Saccharomyces cerevisiae S288C: one gene and its partners. The protein of the gene in region 3 interacts with the protein of the main gene of each other region in a biochemical or structural test. Each region holds a gene or a part of one and is shown on either strand. Other genes may lie near its edges.

Region 1 (4,686 bases), on a different chromosome or scaffold from region 3:
AACAGTGGCTAGGCGGCAACGCCTGGAACACGCGCTTAAAAGTTCTGGAAGGTTCGCGAATTGAGAACTGCTCAGGGGCGAATACAGGGGCGGCCTTGGCGGCAGGGGGGAGGCCTCTGTGAAGTTAGTTATATAAGACTTGCTGTCATCGTTTTTTTGATCCCGGCAGGAACTATCTTTTATTCTCATACATACGGTCAAGAAGTATAATTATACATAACATAGGGACACGTTCAGGCAATTGTCCATATCCCACACAAATTAAGATCATACCAAGCCGAAGCAATGAGTTTTTATCAACCATCCCTATCTCTTTATGACGTTTTGAACGCATTATCCAACCAAACTGGCCAGAGAGGGCAGCAAGGATATCCTCGCCAACCACAAAGGCCACAGAGATACCATCCCCATTATGGACAAGTGCACGTTGGCGGGCATCATCCTCGTCATCATCCATTGTATAGCAGATACAATGGTGTTCCTAATACCTATTACTACCAGTTCCCTGGACAAGCCTATTACTATAGTCCTGAATACGGTTATGATGACGAGGATGGTGAAGAAGAGGACCAAGACGAAGATATGGTGGGTGACAGCGGCACTACAAGACAGGAAGATGGTGGCGAGGACAGCAACTCGAGAAGATATCCATCATATTACCATTGTAATACTGCCAGGAATAATAGGACCAACCAACAGGCAAACAGTTTAAACGACTTATTAACCGCGTTAATAGGTGTTCCACCATATGAAGGCACTGAACCAGAAATTGAAGCAAATACCGAACAGGAGGGCGAAAAGGGAGAAGAAAAGGATAAGAAGGATAAGTCTGAAGCACCCAAAGAGGAAGCTGGCGAAACCAACAAAGAAAAACCTTTGAATCAGCTGGAGGAATCGTCGAGACCACCATTAGCCAAAAAATCTTCATCGTTCGCTCACCTACAAGCGCCTTCCCCAATACCTGACCCGTTACAAGTATCCAAGCCTGAAACGAGAATGGACTTACCATTTTCACCAGAAGTGAATGTCTATGATACCGAGGACACTTACGTAGTTGTTCTTGCGTTACCAGGTGCTAACTCTAGGGCTTTCCACATTGATTACCATCCATCTTCTCATGAGATGCTCATCAAGGGTAAGATCGAAGACAGAGTGGGCATTGATGAAAAATTCTTGAAGATCACGGAACTAAAATATGGTGCGTTTGAGAGAACCGTTAAATTCCCCGTGCTGCCACGCATTAAGGACGAAGAAATTAAAGCTACTTACAACAACGGTCTACTACAAATTAAGGTGCCTAAAATTGTCAATGACACTGAAAAGCCGAAGCCAAAAAAGAGGATCGCCATTGAGGAAATACCCGACGAAGAATTGGAGTTTGAAGAAAATCCCAACCCTACGGTAGAAAATTGAATATCGTATCTGTTTATACACACATACATACATTTATATTTATAATAAGCGTTAAAATTTCGGCAGAATATCTGTCAACCACACAAAAATCATACAACGAATGGTATATGCTTCATTTCTTTGTTTCGCATTAGCTGCGCTATTTGACTCAAATTATTATTTTTTACTAAGACGACGCGTCACAGTGTTCGAGTCTGTGTCATTTCTTTTGTAATTCTCTTAAACCACTTCATAAAGTTGTGAAGTTCATAGCAAAATTCTTCCGCAAAAAGATGAATCTTAGTTCTCAGCCCACCAAAAGAGGTACATGCTAAGATCATACAGAAGTTATTGTCACTTCTTACCTTGCTCTTAAATGTACATTACAACCGGGTATTATATCTTACATCATCGTATAATATGATCTTTCTTTATGGAGAAAATTTTTTTTTCACTCGACCAAAGCTCCCATTGCTTCTGAAGAGTGTAGTGTATATTGGTACATCTTCTCTTGAAAGACTCCATTGTACTGTAACAAAAAGCGGTTTCTTCATCGACTTGCTCGGAATAACATCTATATCTGCCCACTAGCAACAATGTCGGATTCAAACCAAGGCAACAATCAGCAAAACTACCAGCAATACAGCCAGAACGGTAACCAACAACAAGGTAACAACAGATACCAAGGTTATCAAGCTTACAATGCTCAAGCCCAACCTGCAGGTGGGTACTACCAAAATTACCAAGGTTATTCTGGGTACCAACAAGGTGGCTATCAACAGTACAATCCCGACGCCGGTTACCAGCAACAGTATAATCCTCAAGGAGGCTATCAACAGTACAATCCTCAAGGCGGTTATCAGCAGCAATTCAATCCACAAGGTGGCCGTGGAAATTACAAAAACTTCAACTACAATAACAATTTGCAAGGATATCAAGCTGGTTTCCAACCACAGTCTCAAGGTATGTCTTTGAACGACTTTCAAAAGCAACAAAAGCAGGCCGCTCCCAAACCAAAGAAGACTTTGAAGCTTGTCTCCAGTTCCGGTATCAAGTTGGCCAATGCTACCAAGAAGGTTGGCACAAAACCTGCCGAATCTGATAAGAAAGAGGAAGAGAAGTCTGCTGAAACCAAAGAACCAACTAAAGAGCCAACAAAGGTCGAAGAACCAGTTAAAAAGGAGGAGAAACCAGTCCAGACTGAAGAAAAGACGGAGGAAAAATCGGAACTTCCAAAGGTAGAAGACCTTAAAATCTCTGAATCAACACATAATACCAACAATGCCAATGTTACCAGTGCTGATGCCTTGATCAAGGAACAGGAAGAAGAAGTGGATGACGAAGTTGTTAACGATATGTTTGGTGGTAAAGATCACGTTTCTTTAATTTTCATGGGTCATGTTGATGCCGGTAAATCTACTATGGGTGGTAATCTACTATACTTGACTGGCTCTGTGGATAAGAGAACTATTGAGAAATATGAAAGAGAAGCCAAGGATGCAGGCAGACAAGGTTGGTACTTGTCATGGGTCATGGATACCAACAAAGAAGAAAGAAATGATGGTAAGACTATCGAAGTTGGTAAGGCCTACTTTGAAACTGAAAAAAGGCGTTATACCATATTGGATGCTCCTGGTCATAAAATGTACGTTTCCGAGATGATCGGTGGTGCTTCTCAAGCTGATGTTGGTGTTTTGGTCATTTCCGCCAGAAAGGGTGAGTACGAAACCGGTTTTGAGAGAGGTGGTCAAACTCGTGAACACGCCCTATTGGCCAAGACCCAAGGTGTTAATAAGATGGTTGTCGTCGTAAATAAGATGGATGACCCAACCGTTAACTGGTCTAAGGAACGTTACGACCAATGTGTGAGTAATGTCAGCAATTTCTTGAGAGCAATTGGTTACAACATTAAGACAGACGTTGTATTTATGCCAGTATCCGGCTACAGTGGTGCAAATTTGAAAGATCACGTAGATCCAAAAGAATGCCCATGGTACACCGGCCCAACTCTGTTAGAATATCTGGATACAATGAACCACGTCGACCGTCACATCAATGCTCCATTCATGTTGCCTATTGCCGCTAAGATGAAGGATCTAGGTACCATCGTTGAAGGTAAAATTGAATCCGGTCATATCAAAAAGGGTCAATCCACCCTACTGATGCCTAACAAAACCGCTGTGGAAATTCAAAATATTTACAACGAAACTGAAAATGAAGTTGATATGGCTATGTGTGGTGAGCAAGTTAAACTAAGAATCAAAGGTGTTGAAGAAGAAGACATTTCACCAGGTTTTGTACTAACATCGCCAAAGAACCCTATCAAGAGTGTTACCAAGTTTGTAGCTCAAATTGCTATTGTAGAATTAAAATCTATCATAGCAGCCGGTTTTTCATGTGTTATGCATGTTCATACAGCAATTGAAGAGGTACATATTGTTAAGTTATTGCACAAATTAGAAAAGGGTACCAACCGTAAGTCAAAGAAACCACCTGCTTTTGCTAAGAAGGGTATGAAGGTCATCGCTGTTTTAGAAACTGAAGCTCCAGTTTGTGTGGAAACTTACCAAGATTACCCTCAATTAGGTAGATTCACTTTGAGAGATCAAGGTACCACAATAGCAATTGGTAAAATTGTTAAAATTGCCGAGTAAATTTCTTGCAAACATAAGTAAATGCAAACACAATAATACCGATCATAAAGCATTTTCTTCTATATTAAAAAACAAGGTTTAATAAAGCTGTTATATATATATATATATATATAGACGTATAATTAGTTTAGTTCTTTTTGTACCATATACCATAAACAAGGTAAACTTCACCTCTCAATATATCTAGAATTTCATAAAAATATCTAGCAAGGTTTCAACTCCTTCAATCACGTTTTCATCATAACCCTTCCCCGGCGTTATTTCAGAATGTGCAAAATCTATTAGTGACATGGAACTCAAAGAACCAGTTGTTTTTTTGTCCTTTGGTCCTTCGCTGCTTCCCTCGGCATCATCATCATCATCATCATCATTATCATCATCGTCGTCATCATCGTCTATAAAATCATCTCGCATAAGTTTGTCAACATCATTTAGTAATTCCCATCGCTCCGGGTCTCCTTCGTAAATAAACAAAAGACTACTTGATATCATTCTAACTTCTTCTTCTAGCATAGTATTATAAAACAACTGCAATCTTTTCAAAAATGTTTTCTTCAGTTGATGCTTTCTCGCATCCGACAGATGAGGATTGTTAAAATAAAGTTCAATTGCATCTGAAACATTTTGATCGGTTCTTGAA
Region 2 (5,283 bases), on a different chromosome or scaffold from region 3:
AACTCCAGAATACGTAAGCGTTCTGGATTCTTTATCGTTAAGCAAATTCGATGAGAATACCAGGAAAATGCAAGCACTATATGATAGAATTGAAAAAGAACTCATAAATTGTGCGCCGGATGTAAATTCTAAGGTCAATATAACGCCAATCGAAACAAAGGAAGAGAGGAGAGAACGAAAGAAAAGAGAAGGTATGGAGAGACAACGTCAACTTAAGAGCCCACAAAATGTGCTATAAGAAAAGGGGACATACCAAGAATTACTCAGCCTTTATTTTTCTTTCTTGTGGCTCTTGCGTTCATTTTTCGTTGTTATATAATCTTGTTAATCTTTGACGGGATAAAAGCGTTATTATTTTGTAATATACACATTAAAACTTATTTTTTTTCTTAAATTTATCTGTATATGATGAAAGATCAGGTCTAGTTAATGCACAAAAAGGTTTAACACATGAATTAAAAAGGAAAAAGACTAGCTTATCGTTTCTAAAAGAAAATCTTTTAATCACTGTCCCCATCGTTATTCATTAATGCGTCGAACATATTAGCTCTTGGAGCTTGAGAAACTTCTTCGACTTTACGAGCATTTCTTTGGTTATTTCTGAAAGAACCTGTTTTCGTGGAAGCAAAACTATCTCTTTGGGTGTTTTGCATGTTCCTTCTGTTAGAAGAATATCTGTTGCTGTTCGATTGGTTGTGATTGTTGAATCTAGAATTTGATCTCTGACTGTTCTTTTTCTGACGTAATTGTTCTTCTTCTTGGTGGATTTGTTGAATTGTCTTTGGTCCGGCGTCTTTCTTAGCGCTGTTCCAATGCTTAATTTCCCTCAATTCCTTCACGTCTATCAACTTGAACTTTATTCTGTTCGATATGGTGCCACCGTCAATGATATGTTGTAACAACATAAATAGATTGTCGAGTAGTACCGAACCTTCAAGAGTTGCCTGAGGCGTAACAAATTTATCATGTTCAAATTGTTCACCCACAGTATTCAGTAATTCAATAACGGACTCTAATGTCTCCTCGGATGGATCGTTGTTTAGATCTTTCATTAATCTCCGGAAGCACTCAAACATCATCTTACCAGTTAATAAGTTCAAACAATATAAGTACCCTATGAAACGTACTAAACCTAACCCTCTTCTCTTGGCGGCAGCCGCAATATAATACTCATCGGACATCATTTCAGGTTCTAGTGGATTACCATCTTCTCCTGCAGGCAACTTATCAGCCCAACCTTTCTCAAATTCTTCGTGACATCTTGCCACTAAATAATGCAACACAAGCTTTGGTCCATTCTTTCCTTCGTTCTCTTTATCTTTAATGTTTGGGTCAAGGTCTTTGACCACTTTGCCACATAACTGAGCATACATTGAAGACCAATGAGGTTCATCACAAGCCTTGTGGAAAATTTGTTCAATAACTATTTTCAATGTTTCGCCATCATCTTCCCACTTTGATTGGTTTGCTATATCCAAAATCTCAGAGGAGATTGAATCAAACATTTCTAAAGTTAACTTGTTTAATAGAGACTTCATTTTTCGTTCTACTTCTTCCTTGTCAAATAATTCAGTTTTGCCGTCAGGAGCTAACTTCTTTTCTGTTTTTTTAACCCTTGATTTAGGTATCCATCTATTAGCACTCGGAACCAACGGGGCGATTTCTTCCTTTGGAGCTTGCTCTTCTGCCTTTTCTGCAGCTTTTTCGCGATCTTTTCTGGAGGTATATCCTCTATTAGATCTTCTGTCGTCACCCATTCTCTTTGATCTTCTTTTCGATGAAACTCTTGAACTGGAAGTATGGTCCATACCGCGCATAGATGGACTTCTGAAATCGCCTCCAAATCTGCCACTATCTTTTGGTTTATTTCTGGCTATATGAGGAGGTATAACAATTTTCGAGGATACAGCTTCAACCCACGCAGGATCAGGCCTGAATTTTAGTTTATCTTTGAATTGCAGTAAGAAGGTAGGGCCATAAGTGTACTTAACGCTTGGTTTCTTGTATTTGATATCAGGCCTTTCAACATTTTCCGGATAGGCAAACTCATATATGTCAGAAATTGGTTGAGCCTTACCTAAAGTTTCAAGTAGTTGAGATACAGTTGGCATCTCAATATCGGAAGTGGAAGGTTCTGTCTCCTTCACTGTGTTCTCCTCTGTGGTGATTACGGAATTTATTGTTTCGTCGTCACTTTTATTTACAGTTTTTCCACCAGTCGTATCCGAAATTTCAGTAGTATCATCATCTTTAACAAGCTCATCAACATCCTGAGAACTGCTCTCATTCTCGGGTTCGTTAAAAGTCACGGATTTAGTTACACTTCCAGTTACATGTTGTGGAGTTTTGACACTTGCCCCTGATTTTCCATCAATCACAACTTCATTAGCTTCTCCCGTTGGTTTCGGCGCTTCCTTAATAGGTTCAGATTCAATAACCGAGTTGGGCTTAGTTGTATCAGTATTATCATGATTTGAAGTTTCTTGCTTCTTCTCAGTTTCGGAGATTAAACCGTTTTTCTTTCTTTCCATGGCAGCTTTGCGCAATCTCACCTGCTCTAAAAATAATCTCTTAGTATTTTCCGCTTCAGAGGTAGATTTTTCATTAGATGTTTCGGTTAACGTATCTTTAACTGCTTCATTAGCAGGTAGTACAGGAGTTGCCTCCTTTTCAAAAGGGGTTCCTGATTTAGATTTCTGCTCTACCCCATCATTCTTCTCTTCACCTTTCGAAGCTTTCTTTTCTTCGTGGAATTTTTTCAAATTTAAACGTTCACCAGTTTTCGTAGTGATTTCTATTTTTGTAGTTTTAGGTGTAGAGGGAGGTTCGGGATTAGTGTTGAGTGGTTGGTGTGTATATGGTGGAGAAGCAACTGGAACCATTTGTTGGGGTATATAATACATCTGAGGAGCATAGTAGTTAGCTGGCCATTGCATACCTGGCAACATTGCCGGGTTATAGTCGTTGTTATTCAGTCTGTAGCCATTATTGAATCTGTTATTGTAGTACTGTGCATTTCCTTGACTATTATTACGATTATTGTATTTATTTGTCCCGTATTTGCCATTTTTCGACTGGTATTGCTTGTTATTGTGAGGTTCCCTTGCACTGTAAAGATTTTCATTGTAGTGGTTATTTGGCTGACTATTATTGGCTCCAGAGTATTGGTTATCATGAGGAGGAAATTTCTTGTAGCCATTGGCTTGCTGCGGGTGTGGGGGCGGTGGACCTCTTTGGTCAGTCATAGTGCCTACAATTGATCTATTGTTCTTTGTAATAAATTCTTTCTTTCAGGAACAGTAAAAACAGCCTAAAAATATGAAGTCGCCGTAGTAAACGTTATCTTCTAGTTACTATCAACACAGACGCCTTTTTAAATTCGAGGGTCAAGGCTGCTAGGCTGAGTGGTCGTTTGCTGTGTTTACCTCTAATCAAAAACTTATTATCTTTTTTTTTTCAGTCCTTTTTGCAAAGCAGGTACCTACTATTTTTCAAAATACACTAAAGGAACGGGCCCCCCGGCTTACTATTAATAAGGTCAGGACGGGGAAAAAGCAGCAATGCTCTGCCCCTCTGTTCTCGAAAAGACAAACGGTTGTTATATCCTGTATATCCAGCGGTATAATTTTGCCTCTTAGTTAATGCTAAACTATGATATTATACACATACACTAAGTAACATATACAATGAGCCAAGTGAAACGAATACATCACTTGAACAGCTTGGCGACAGAAATGGCCGTTTCTTGGTTCTTGTTCATAACCTTACCCACAGCGAGTTCGAAGTCTTCTTGAGTAACGTGTATTCTTCTTTCTCTTAAAGCATACATACCAGCTTCTGTACAGACACCTTTGACATCGGCACCAGAACAACCGTTCATCTTTTCAGCAACCTTTCTCAAGTTGATACCACGAGTTAGATTCATTTTTCTGGAATGGATTCTTAAAATTTCAGCTCTAGCTGCGACACTTGGAGGTGGAAATTCAATCTTCCTATCTATTCTACCGGGTCTCAAAAGTGCTGGATCTAGAATATCTAGTCTATTCGTGGCCATTATGATCTTGATATTTTTAGAAGTTTCAAACCCGTCCAATTGGTTTAGTAGTTCTAACATTGTTCTTTGAACTTCTGAATCACCACCACCAGAACCTTCTACACGAGTAGAGCCAATGGAATCGATTTCATCCATAAAGATAATTGAGGGAGCATGTTCTCTAGCCATCACAAACAGCTCACGGACCATACGGGAACCTTCGCCGATATACTTTTGTACCAGTTCCGCACCACTGACCCTGATGAATTTACAATCAGTGTGATGTGCGACAGCTCTTGCCAATAAGGTTTTCCCTGTACCAGGGGGGCCATATAAGATGACACCCTTTGGTTGCGCAATACCCAAACTTTCAAAAAGTTCAGGATGTTTTACGGGCAATTCAATAACTTCTTTAATCTCCTTTATTTGCTTTGTCAAACCACCAACCATATCGTATGTGGAATCAGGAACTTTTTCCACCATCATCAACGAAACTAGTGGGTCAGCCTTATTCTCAAGAACTTTATGCAACATATAAGAGTCACTCCTTAGACAAACTCTTTGAGATGCCTTTAAGTCCTTCACGTTTATATCTTTTGCAACATCCACGATGTATTTTCCCTCAGGTTGCACTTTAACGAGAACTTTTTTGTCAGACACGATCTTTATAACTTCACCCACATAAGATCCAGGTTCCTGTAATAGACGCAGTTCGTCCTTGATAAAACGTACTTTGTCATTCAATGCATTCCTTTGAGCTTCCAGTCTGCGAACATTTTCTGTTTTGGAGCGGATCTTTAATTCTGTTTCTTGGATCTTCTGTTCAAAATATGGTTTGATACCACTTTCGTGGGTTTCTAATACTATATTGGAGGATGTTACAGCAGCTGTCATTGTCGTGATAGTATCCCACTATACTGTTGTTCCGTTTACATAAAACCTAACCTAACTGTTACTGATATTACAACTTTTGCCACCTCGCTCGCATTTTGACAGTTTTAAAATACGAAAATTTCCGAACAAGAATAAGGGTAGAGAAGTATGCAAAATATGATTTCATATTAAAAAACCCAACCGAAGAAAAAGGGAAATAGAAAAACAAGTTTTCAGTCGCAAAAAGAGGTTAAACAAACGAGTCAGAAGCCAGCTCTTTCAAACAATGGGTATTATTGAAGAAAAGGCTCTTTTTGTTACGTGTGGGGCAACGGTGCCATTTCCAAAGCTCGTCTCATGTGTGCTAAGCGACGAAT
Region 3 (4,547 bases):
TCTTCATTACTGCTATTATCTTCAAATTGAAATGTATCTTCAAAGGGCGACATGGGAGCATGCCCATCGCCATGAAAAGTTCCAGACATAATTATCAACTAACTTTCCTTTTTAAAGTTAACTGCGTTTTTATTTCACTTCCAGGAGGAAATAAAGGATTTCTGTTACGGTTGCTTTCCCTTGCTCAACCTCCGGTTAATTTTTGAGTGTTTTTAATTGCGACCCTAAAAATCCACTTAAAACTGTCTGAGTTGCGTATTACGATGACCTTCGGTTATTAAAGGTCAAATTTCATAAAGTAAAAGCTAAGTGAGACTTTGCTCTGTGAAATTTTATCAGCTTTGTACCTCCAGTTAGTTGAATGCGGTGATGAATAGCAAGGTACCCTCACTTGATTTGTCAATTTTTTGTAAATTAGTATTTTCCTGGAACCTGTTGGTCTTTTTTCCGTGCTATTTTGTTTATTTTCCGCGAAAACTAACATTCTGCCGTTAATAATGAGACCTCAAAAAAACGCAACTAATAAACTCAGTAATGAAGTCTAATAATAGTAAAATGATACTTCTCTTGACAGTTAAAAACAAAAAACGTTTGCATTTTGTCAATAAGAGCGAGTATTTAGGTTACAAAGGATAATAACTAGTATTTAAGACAAAAAAAAAAGGGAAGGGAGAAAAAAAAGATGATAAGTTTGTTGAGTAGGGAAGTAGGTGATTACATAGAGCATTAAGCTTGCTCAGTTTGTTGTTCTTGCTCCTTTTTGAAAGACTCATAGGCAGCAGAAGCTTCTTTGTAGTGTTGTTCGAACAATTCATCACTTTCCAACAATGGGAAGACCTCTTGAGGTGGCAAATCCAAAATCATACCAGTAATTTTACCAGCTGCTTCTTCATTTGAAGTCTTAGCAGAAACCTTCTTGTATAATTGTTCACCCAAAGCTTGTCTTTGCTTTTGTTGATAAAATTGGTTGTTATCGTTGGCATTTCTTGGGAAACCACCTTGTGGGGGGACGCCGTAAACCGGACCATTTCTAAATTGAGGTGGCATGCCGTTCTTTGGCATACCGCCCATTGGGTTCATTTGTTGTGGGTTTGGACCGTTGAATGGAACACCTCTTGGTGGCATAACACCATAGAACATTGGAGGCATGAATTGACCTGGCATACCGGCAGCGGCGGCGGCAGCGGCAGCAGTAGCTTGCTGGTATCTCATTTGATTTCTGGCTTGGATTTGTTGAGCCAATTGAGAACGTCTTACGTCTTTTCTTTGAGCAATGGCAACGTATAATGGCTTACCAGCAACAATTTGTTGGTTCTTTTCTGTAATGGCCTTAGTAGCTTCCTCTGGAGTTGAGAAACAAACAAAACCAAAACCCTTAGACTTACCGTTTTCGGTTCTCATAACCTTTGCAGAAGTGATAGTACCATATGGAGCAAATTCTTCTTCCAACTTTTCGTCATCAACGCTGTCATCTAAGTTCTTAACAAACAAATTAACACCTTGGTACTTGGCCATTTTTTCCAATCTGTAAGCTTCGTATTGCTTCTTCAAGACATGCATACGTTCATTCTTCTTTTGGGCACGACCAACGTATAACTTTTCTCCATTTAGTTCAGAGTCATTCAAAGCTTCAACAGCTTTCACAGCGTCTTCATGCTTTTCGTAGTTAACAAACCCGAAACCCTTCAATTTTCCATCAGCATCCTTTTCCAAAGAGGCAGAAACAATTGGACCAAATTTGGCAAACAATTCTTGGAATTGTTCGTCAGTAGTTTCGGAGTTGATGTTTTTCACATAAAGGTTAGTGTAATGTGCCTTAGTCTCTTCCAATTGAGAGTCACGTTCCTTTCTGGACAAGTGAGGAGCAACATAAATTTCTTGACCGTTCAACAGCATACCATTCAAAGCATCAATAGCTTCCTTGGCAGCACCTTCTTCTTCGAAGTGAACAAACCCAAAACCCTTGGATTTTCCGTTTTCGTCGGTGGCAATCTTGCTGGACAAGATGTCACCAAACACAGAGAAAGTGTCATACAAAGCCTTGTTGTCAATATCAGGGTGCAAGTTCTTGATAAAGATGTTACCAGAACCCTTCTTTCTCAATGATGGGTCACGTTGAGACCACATAATACGGCATAATCTACCCTTGATTGGAGTGTAGTTCAATTGCTCAATTGCTTTTCTGCCGGCTTCATGGTCGTTAAAGTTAACATAAGCATAGCCCAAAGAGGTCTTAGTGATGGCATCACGACAGACACGAATGGAGGAGACTGAACCGATTGGAGAGAAGATATCATATAAGTGGGCTTCGGAAACAGAAGGTTCTAAGTCACCAACATATAATGATGCAGAAGAGTTTTCAACAGATTGGCTTTCTGAACCAGTGGCGGCTTGCTTTTGGTCATCTTGAATATTCAAGTTTTCCAATTGTTCAGCTGTCTTATCAGTAATATCAGCCATTTTATTTTTATTGGTTTTTTAGTTTTTTTTGGATTTTTTTTTTTGAGTTTTTATTGAATAAAAAGCCAGATATTAGGTGGTGGTACCAGGGCCTGCTCTATGCTTCAAACGGTTATTAAGTAAAAATGTTACTTCGTAGCTCACTGTCCTAAAAATACAAAATCAAAACTAAAGAATTTTACACAAGAAAGAAGAGATATAAAATACAAGATGACACTTTCTATTAAGTAAAACAGAAACCTCTTTCCTTGGAACTGGAGCGAAAGAGAACAATTGTCCCAGAACTTGCGATGGTGATGGCAAAAAGCGCAAAAAAAATTTTCTTTGTAAAAAGGAAAGAGAAAAAAAAAAAGAAATAATCTTCGATTAACAGTTTTCGTTAAACATGATTGATCTATCTGCTTTGTGGCTTCATACAGTATGACCTCTTATATGGTCATAGTAGTAACTAATTAAGCATTATTACTTTACGGTGCCCTATAGTACACACACTTACACGCAAATATATATACATAAATACGTTTATAGTTATGGGGGGAAGGAACAATGGAAAATGTGGTGAAGAAAAATTGTTTCACTTCTTTTGAGACTCTGTTATCTTGTCGTACATTGCCATCAGCTTTGTACTCTTAACGTCGGCAGGCCAAAAGTTGGCACTGTAAGACCAAAGGTGCTTGCGATATTTTTCTGGGCTTGCCTTTCTCGATGAGCCCTTTTGCGATTCGATATGATTACCAATCGTAGTTAATTCGGTCTTCAAAATTTTGGCCCATTCCTTACGATCAAGACTTTTGCCGCCTCTTCTAAGTCGCTTCAAAGAAGTACGTATTGCACTCATTGTGTGTCGACAGTCTTCTTCATCCATGCTGTCATATTCTTTTTCGTGAGCGCTGCCGCTACTGGGGTTGCTTGATTGCCTTGTACCATTATCTCTGGAAACCTTGGACTTTAATGGGGGCGTGGGGCTGTTTGGAGACAATCTCGTGTTATTTATTAAGGCGGCAGGACCTTTTGGGAGGGCTTTCATACGTTTGCTTGGCGGGCCATTTGCAGGCTCAGAACTTGTAATTTCTGGAGTCATGGATTTGCTGTGATTAGCAGGTTTTCTTTGTCTCTTTTTGGAAGGACCAGTAGGGAGTTTTTTCGAGCCTATGTCAGCACTGGGACTCTTTGTATTTAGGCCTCCTCTTAAGAAGGATAATAGATAATCAACTCTTCTGCCCAAGTGAATGGCACCAGGTACTTTTTTTGAAGAACCCGTTATTCCCTTTCCTTTCTTTGAGGGTGTTGGTGTTGTATCAGAGGAGCTTGCCGACTTTTTTGCTACCGGATTGTGAACTTCATTCAAGAATATTTTATCAGTAATGCCTAGAAATGGATCGTCTCTTATTTGTGTCCAGGAACCATATCCATATTTGAAAACACCAATCAATAGCTTCTCATCTTCCTCTTTCGTCCAATTAGATGACCAATTCTGTACAGGCTTAGGTGTGTTGTTGCCTAGGCTAAACTTTAATGGATCATCTTTGTAGTTTGAATTTATCAAGTTCTTCAAGTACTTTAAATCCTCCACTCTACTTAGTAAAGATTCGGCGTTTAAAGATTTAACACCTTTAAAGTTGAAAAGGACGGCTTTCTTTTCTCTTTTTTTTAAAGATAATCTAGTCAACGGATTATCCTTTGGTTGGTTCTCTGCTTTTATTTCACCGCTTTTTAGCTTTGCTCTATAGGCGGTAGCATGCTTCTCAAGTTTCTCCAAGATTTCTTTTCTATTTTTCTCTTCCTCGTGTACACAGTCTTTAGCTGCTTCCATCATTTCATCGTAAGTTTCACCGTATTTTTCAAATGATTTGACCGGCAGGGTTCCATCTGCAATCAACTCGTCCAAAATCTCCTTTAGGTTGCCAAATTTTAAAATAGCTTTATACAAAGCTCTCACCTCCGATTCACCAATAGAGTCCATGTCATTAGCTCTTGCTCTTCTTCTAGAAGATCTGGAAGTACTATCGTCGTCAGAATCTGAGTTTGCGGCGGTCCCATCACCATTAACACTGTTTTTTATTTTTTTTAGGGCGTTATCCCTTCTA
Region 4 (5,373 bases), on a different chromosome or scaffold from region 3:
CGGTCCTTTCCTTTCGTGGCCTCTGTAAAAAAAAGGACAAATGGTGAAGCAGTAGCATGATTAAATCGAAATATGAAGTTAAAGCCGTCAGCTAATAAATGATATAAATATACAAAACTATACATATGCTGAGTGGTCTATTATATAAAACATATCGTAAACGAAGACTGGCGAAGCTATAAATAAAAATACAGAAAGGCATTGACATATAGAACAAGATAGGAAAAAAAAGCACAGTAAGAGGATTACCCATTAAAATGCATCAAACTTGTTTATAGCTTTTAGTGAAAAGAAATGAGCCCATTAATCGAGAAAATATAACAATGGTAAATTAGGGACACTTTTTTTTTCTTCTCCATGCATATATTTTCAATTAATAGCGCAGGATTAAACGTAAGATTAAATTTGTGTTGTACTATTAATTTATTATTTTATTAGACTTTCTACCAACATCCTTGTATCCAAGTGACATTTTCGATACTTAACATGATCTATTCATGTTACTCTTCGTCATCACTTTCTCCCATTAATGCACTGAACATATTTGTTGCGGTAGAAGTTGGTGCAGCTGGTTCTTCCTTTGGAGGAGGAGCCCTTTGGCTATTTCTTTGAGAATATGTTCTGGTTGTGATAAAGCTATCTTTTGATGCAGGAGGAGCGTCCCTTCTGAAAGAGTGTCTATTACTGGAGTTGTTCGTACGTCTTGAATTAGATCTTGAATTATTCTTCAATTGACGTTGTCTCTCCTCTTCCTCATGAATCTGTTGAATGGTCTTAGGACCGTTGTCCTTCTTATCACTGTTCCAGTTCTTGTCGTGCCTTAATTCTTTAATGTCGATCAACTTGAACTTGATTCTACTAGAAATCTTAGCAGTTTGAATAATATTGTCTAAAATACCGAACAAACTATCGAGCAATTGCGAACCCTCCAATGTTGCTTGACCCGTTCTGAAACTATCGGTCTCAAATTGTTCACCAACAGTATTTAACAATTCAACAACGGACTCTAGAGTTTCTTCAGATGGAGAATCCGTCAAATCCTTCATTAGTCTACGGAAACATTCGAACATCATCTTTCCAGTCAACAGATTCAGACGGTATAGGAAACCGATGAAACGAACCAAACCTAAACCTCTTCTCTTAGCAGAAGCAGCTGCATAGTACTCTTCTGACATCATCTCAGGTTCTAATGGAGTACCATCTTCGTTTGTGGGTAATTTATCGGTCCAACCCTTGTCAAATTCGGCATGACATCTAGCAACCAAGTAATGCAAAACCAATTTTGGACCTGTCTTACCTTCATTAGTTTCATCTGTTATATCTGGGTTTAATTCTTTAACTACTTTACCACATAATTGCGCGTACATAGAAGACCAATGGGGTTCGTCACAGGCCTTTAAGAAAATCTGTTCTATCACAGCCTTTAACGTTTCACCATTTGTTTCCCATACTGATATGTTTGCAATAGCCAAAATTTCAGATGAAATAGCATCGAACATTTCCAAAGTAAGTTTATTCAGTAGTGACTTCATCTTTCTTTCAACTTCATCCTTGTCCAATAGTTCGGTCTTTCCGTCAGGGGCTAGCTTCTTTTCAGTCTTTTTAGACTTGAATTTTGGCACCCACCTATTAGCACTTGGAACAAGTGGAGCAACTTCTTCCTTTGGTTTATCGTCCTCTCTTTTCTCTTCATTTCTGTAGGAGCCTCTCTCGCGGTCTCTTCTTGATGTATAAGATCTATTAGATCTCCTGTCGTCATTCATTCTCTTTGATCTTCTCTTTGATGAAGTTCTTGAATTAGCTCTGTCATCCATATTTCTCACTGAGGTATTTCTAAAGTCATGGCCACGACTAGAATTATTGCCGAATCTGCCAGAATCTCTAGATCTATTTCCTCTGCCCATTCCTGGTGGAATGACAATTTTAGAAGCAGTGCTTTGGACCCATTCGGCGTCCGCTTTGACGTTTAGTTTGTCCTTAAATTGAAGCAAGAAAGTTGGGCCATATGTATATTTGACGTGTTCTTTCTTGTATTTGATATCAGGACCTTCAATACCTTCTGGATAGTTAAAAGAAAAGACATCTTCAATTGGTGTAGCATCTTTCAATACATTCAATATGTGAGAAACGGTGTTTGTACCATCATCAGTTTCATCAGTTGTAGTTTCGATTTCAGCTTCAAGTCCAATCTTTGTTCCAGCATCACCTGCTTCAGCCTCAACTTCAGCTTCAGCTTCATCAGATTTAGTAGGGATAGCCGGAGTTGTTGCAGATTCATCAATGTTTGACTGTTCGGTTTCGGCGACCTCAGTTTCTTCTTTAACCTGTTCACTGGGAGGCACAGGAGCAGACTCGATGGCGCTCTTAGTCTCTTCCTGTACTGGCACTTCCTTGTTTTCCTTCCCCTCCGTTTTTTCTTCTCGTTCTTTTTGTTGTTTCTTCAACTTCAAACGTTCAGCAAAGGTTAACACCTTTGGAGTGGATTCTTCCTTTATTTGGCCCTTTTCTCCTTGTTCACCTTCTTCAGCTGGAGTTTCTTGCTTAACTTCTGGCTCAGCAGATTTTTCTTCAGCAGGCTTGGTTTTTTCGGTTACCTCAGGTTTGTCCGATCCCTTCTCTTCCACATTTTCTGGGGTAGTCTTCATTGGAATATTATTGTTGCCACTAGAACCTTCAAGTTGCTCCTTTCTCTTCTTTTCTAAAGCAGCTTTACGAAGTTTAACTTGCTCGATGAAATTTCTTCTTGTCTTTTCAGCTTCAGATATATTTTCTTCAGAACTGGCCTTAGAGTCATTAGTGGAAGGGGTAGGAGTTGGAGTAGAAGTAGAAGTAGAATCAGAAGTTTCTTTTAACTTTGACTCTGGTTGCGGAGACACAGTAGATCTTTCCTGAGACTGTAGCTTGGCTTTATGCTGTTCTTTCAAATCTAAGTGTTCACCAGACTTGGTAGTGATTTCTATCTTAGTTGGAACAGGTGACTTCTCTTCGACAGGAATTGGATTAGCAGGGGCACTACCAGCGGCCGCCATTTGCTGGGGCTGGTAGTAAACGGGGTAGTTATTATAGTAACCAGTCCATGGCACGTTTGAGCTGTTGGCTCCCATGTGTCCACCTCTGAAACTACCGCCACCATTATAGTTGCCACGGTTGTTATATCTGTTTGGTCCAAATTTACCACCTCTTTGCTGATGAGGTCTGTTGCTGTTGTAAGGCTTCTTTTGGGTATAGTTGCTACCATTGTTGTAGTTGGTGTAGCCACGTTGTTGCTGAGATTCCTGCTGGTCATCGCCTGTCTGTTTCAGAGCAGCAGATTCCTGCTTTGAAGCAGATTGTGTCGGGTGAGCAGTTTCGTCTGTCATTATTGTAATAGGTAATTACAGTTGTCCTCTTACCTTGCTTATTTATGAGCAAGAAGGAGTAAAGTAAGAAGCTTTAAGAAATTGAAGGGAAGAGGAAGAATCATAATTAAGTAAATTATCACAATATCAAGATTGGTAAAATTTCAAGCAACATATTGAAATTCCATCTACCATCCATCCGTTGCACACAGAGAACGCGGCATCGAAAATTTTTCTTGAAAAAAAAACTTTTGTCAGTGAAACAGTACGAGAAAAAAAAAAAATAAAAAAAAAGCTATAATTGAAAAAGGACGCACAAAAATACGGTGAAAAAGAAAAAAAAAATCGTTTCTCACGTCGTTATCGAGTCGCGATGAGGATAGCGCCCATCATATGATCATCCCATTACGATGGAAGTCTGCCATCATGATGTCCAAGAGGGTCCTTAAAGCTATTAGTAAGTAAAAAAAAACTGTTGTTCCAGAGATATTGAAAAAAGCCTTATTAATGTAATCTTCAAAAAATGATTTCGCCCAGGATCGAACTGGGGACGTTCTGCGTGTTAAGCAGATGCCATAACCGACTAGACCACGAAACCACTCTTATTGGAAGATTGATCCAATTAAAGGGGAATAGGTCACATGAAACGACGACAACTATGCTGGTTATTACCTAGAGGGATAATTGCAAGCTAGATCTTGAAACGAACAGAGGAAAAAAGCTAAAGTAGTAACAACAACCAATATATGTATATATGAAGAGAATGTGGATTTTGTTGGAATAAAAATCCACTATCGTCTATCAACTAATAGTTATATTATCAATATATTATCATATACGGTGTTAAGATGATGACATAAGTTATGAGAAGCTGTCATCGAAGTTAGAGGAAGCTGAAGTGCAAGGATTGATAATGTAATAGGATAATGAAACATATAAAACGGAATGAGGAATAATCGTAATATTAGTATGTAGAAATATAGATTCCATTTTGAGGATTCCTATATCCTCGAGGAGAACTTCTAGTATATTCTGTATACCTAATATTATAGCCTTTATCAACAATGGAATCCCAACAATTATCTAATTACCCACATATATCTCATGGTAGCGCCTGTGCTTCGGTTACTTCTAAGGAAGTCCACACAAATCAAGATCCGTTAGACGTTTCAGCTTCCAAAATTCAAGAATATGATAAGGCTTCCACTAAGGCTAACTCTCAACAGACAACAACACCTGCTTCATCAGCTGTTCCAGAGAACCCCCATCATGCCTCTCCTCAACCTGCTTCAGTACCACCTCCACAGAATGGGCCGTACCCACAGCAGTGCATGATGACCCAAAACCAAGCCAATCCATCTGGTTGGTCATTTTACGGACACCCATCTATGATTCCGTATACACCTTATCAAATGTCGCCTATGTACTTTCCACCTGGGCCACAATCACAGTTTCCGCAGTATCCATCATCAGTTGGAACGCCTCTGAGCACTCCATCACCTGAGTCAGGTAATACATTTACTGATTCATCCTCAGCGGACTCTGATATGACATCCACTAAAAAATATGTCAGACCACCACCAATGTTAACCTCACCTAATGACTTTCCAAATTGGGTTAAAACATACATCAAATTTTTACAAAACTCGAATCTCGGTGGTATTATTCCGACAGTAAACGGAAAACCCGTACGTCAGATCACTGATGATGAACTCACCTTCTTGTATAACACTTTTCAAATATTTGCTCCCTCTCAATTCCTACCTACCTGGGTCAAAGACATCCTATCCGTTGATTATACGGATATCATGAAAATTCTTTCCAAAAGTATTGAAAAAATGCAATCTGATACCCAAGAGGCAAACGACATTGTGACCCTGGCAAATTTGCAATATAATGGCAGTACACCTGCAGATGCATTTGAAACAAAAGTCACAAACATTATCGACAGACTGAACAATAATGGCATTCATATCAATAACAAGGTCGCATGCCAATTAATTATGAGAGGTCTATCTGGCGAATATAAATTTTT

Evidence for each region.
Region 1: the proteins of PAB1 (region 3) and SUP35 form a complex in vitro, tested with the Saccharomyces cerevisiae proteins (3 studies listed by BioGRID).
Region 2: the proteins of PAB1 (region 3) and TIF4632 form a complex in vitro, tested with the Saccharomyces cerevisiae proteins (6 studies listed by BioGRID).
Region 4: the proteins of PAB1 (region 3) and TIF4631 form a complex in vitro, tested with the Saccharomyces cerevisiae proteins (10 studies listed by BioGRID).

The regions. Positions count from the first base shown.
Region 1 is NC_001136.10:806,336-811,021, forward strand, and holds SUP35 (translation termination factor GTPase eRF3), read left to right. Parts: upstream 1-1,988; coding exon 1,989-4,046; downstream 4,047-4,686. Other genes in the region: heat shock protein HSP42, read left to right, coding at 286-1,413; ARG82 (inositol polyphosphate multikinase), read right to left, coding at 4,230-4,686. UniProt on the Saccharomyces cerevisiae protein: GTPase component of the eRF1-eRF3-GTP ternary complex, a ternary complex that mediates translation termination in response to the termination codons UAA, UAG and UGA.
Region 2 is NC_001139.9:406,360-411,642, forward strand, and holds TIF4632 (translation initiation factor eIF4G), read right to left. Parts: upstream 3,246-5,283; coding exon 501-3,245; downstream 1-500. Other genes in the region: tRNA methyltransferase TYW3, read left to right, coding at 1-238; proteasome regulatory particle base subunit RPT6, read right to left, coding at 3,710-4,927; N-acetylglucosaminyldiphosphodolichol N-acetylglucosaminyltransferase catalytic subunit ALG13, read left to right, coding at 5,193-5,283. UniProt on the Saccharomyces cerevisiae protein: Component of the eIF4F complex, which interacts with the mRNA cap structure and serves as an initial point of assembly for the translation apparatus.
Region 3 is NC_001137.3:508,286-512,832, reverse strand, and holds PAB1 (polyadenylate-binding protein), read right to left. Parts: upstream 2,461-4,547; coding exon 727-2,460; downstream 1-726. Other genes in the region: aminophospholipid-translocating P4-type ATPase DNF1, read right to left, coding at 1-89; chromatin-remodeling ATPase CHD1, read right to left, coding at 3,035-4,547. UniProt on the Saccharomyces cerevisiae protein: Binds the poly(A) tail of mRNA. Appears to be an important mediator of the multiple roles of the poly(A) tail in mRNA biogenesis, stability and translation.
Region 4 is NC_001139.9:822,045-827,417, reverse strand, and holds TIF4631 (translation initiation factor eIF4G), read right to left. Parts: upstream 3,360-5,373; coding exon 501-3,359; downstream 1-500. Other genes in the region: YGR161C-C (gag protein), read left to right, coding at 4,403-5,373. UniProt on the Saccharomyces cerevisiae protein: Component of the eIF4F complex, which interacts with the mRNA cap structure and serves as an initial point of assembly for the translation apparatus.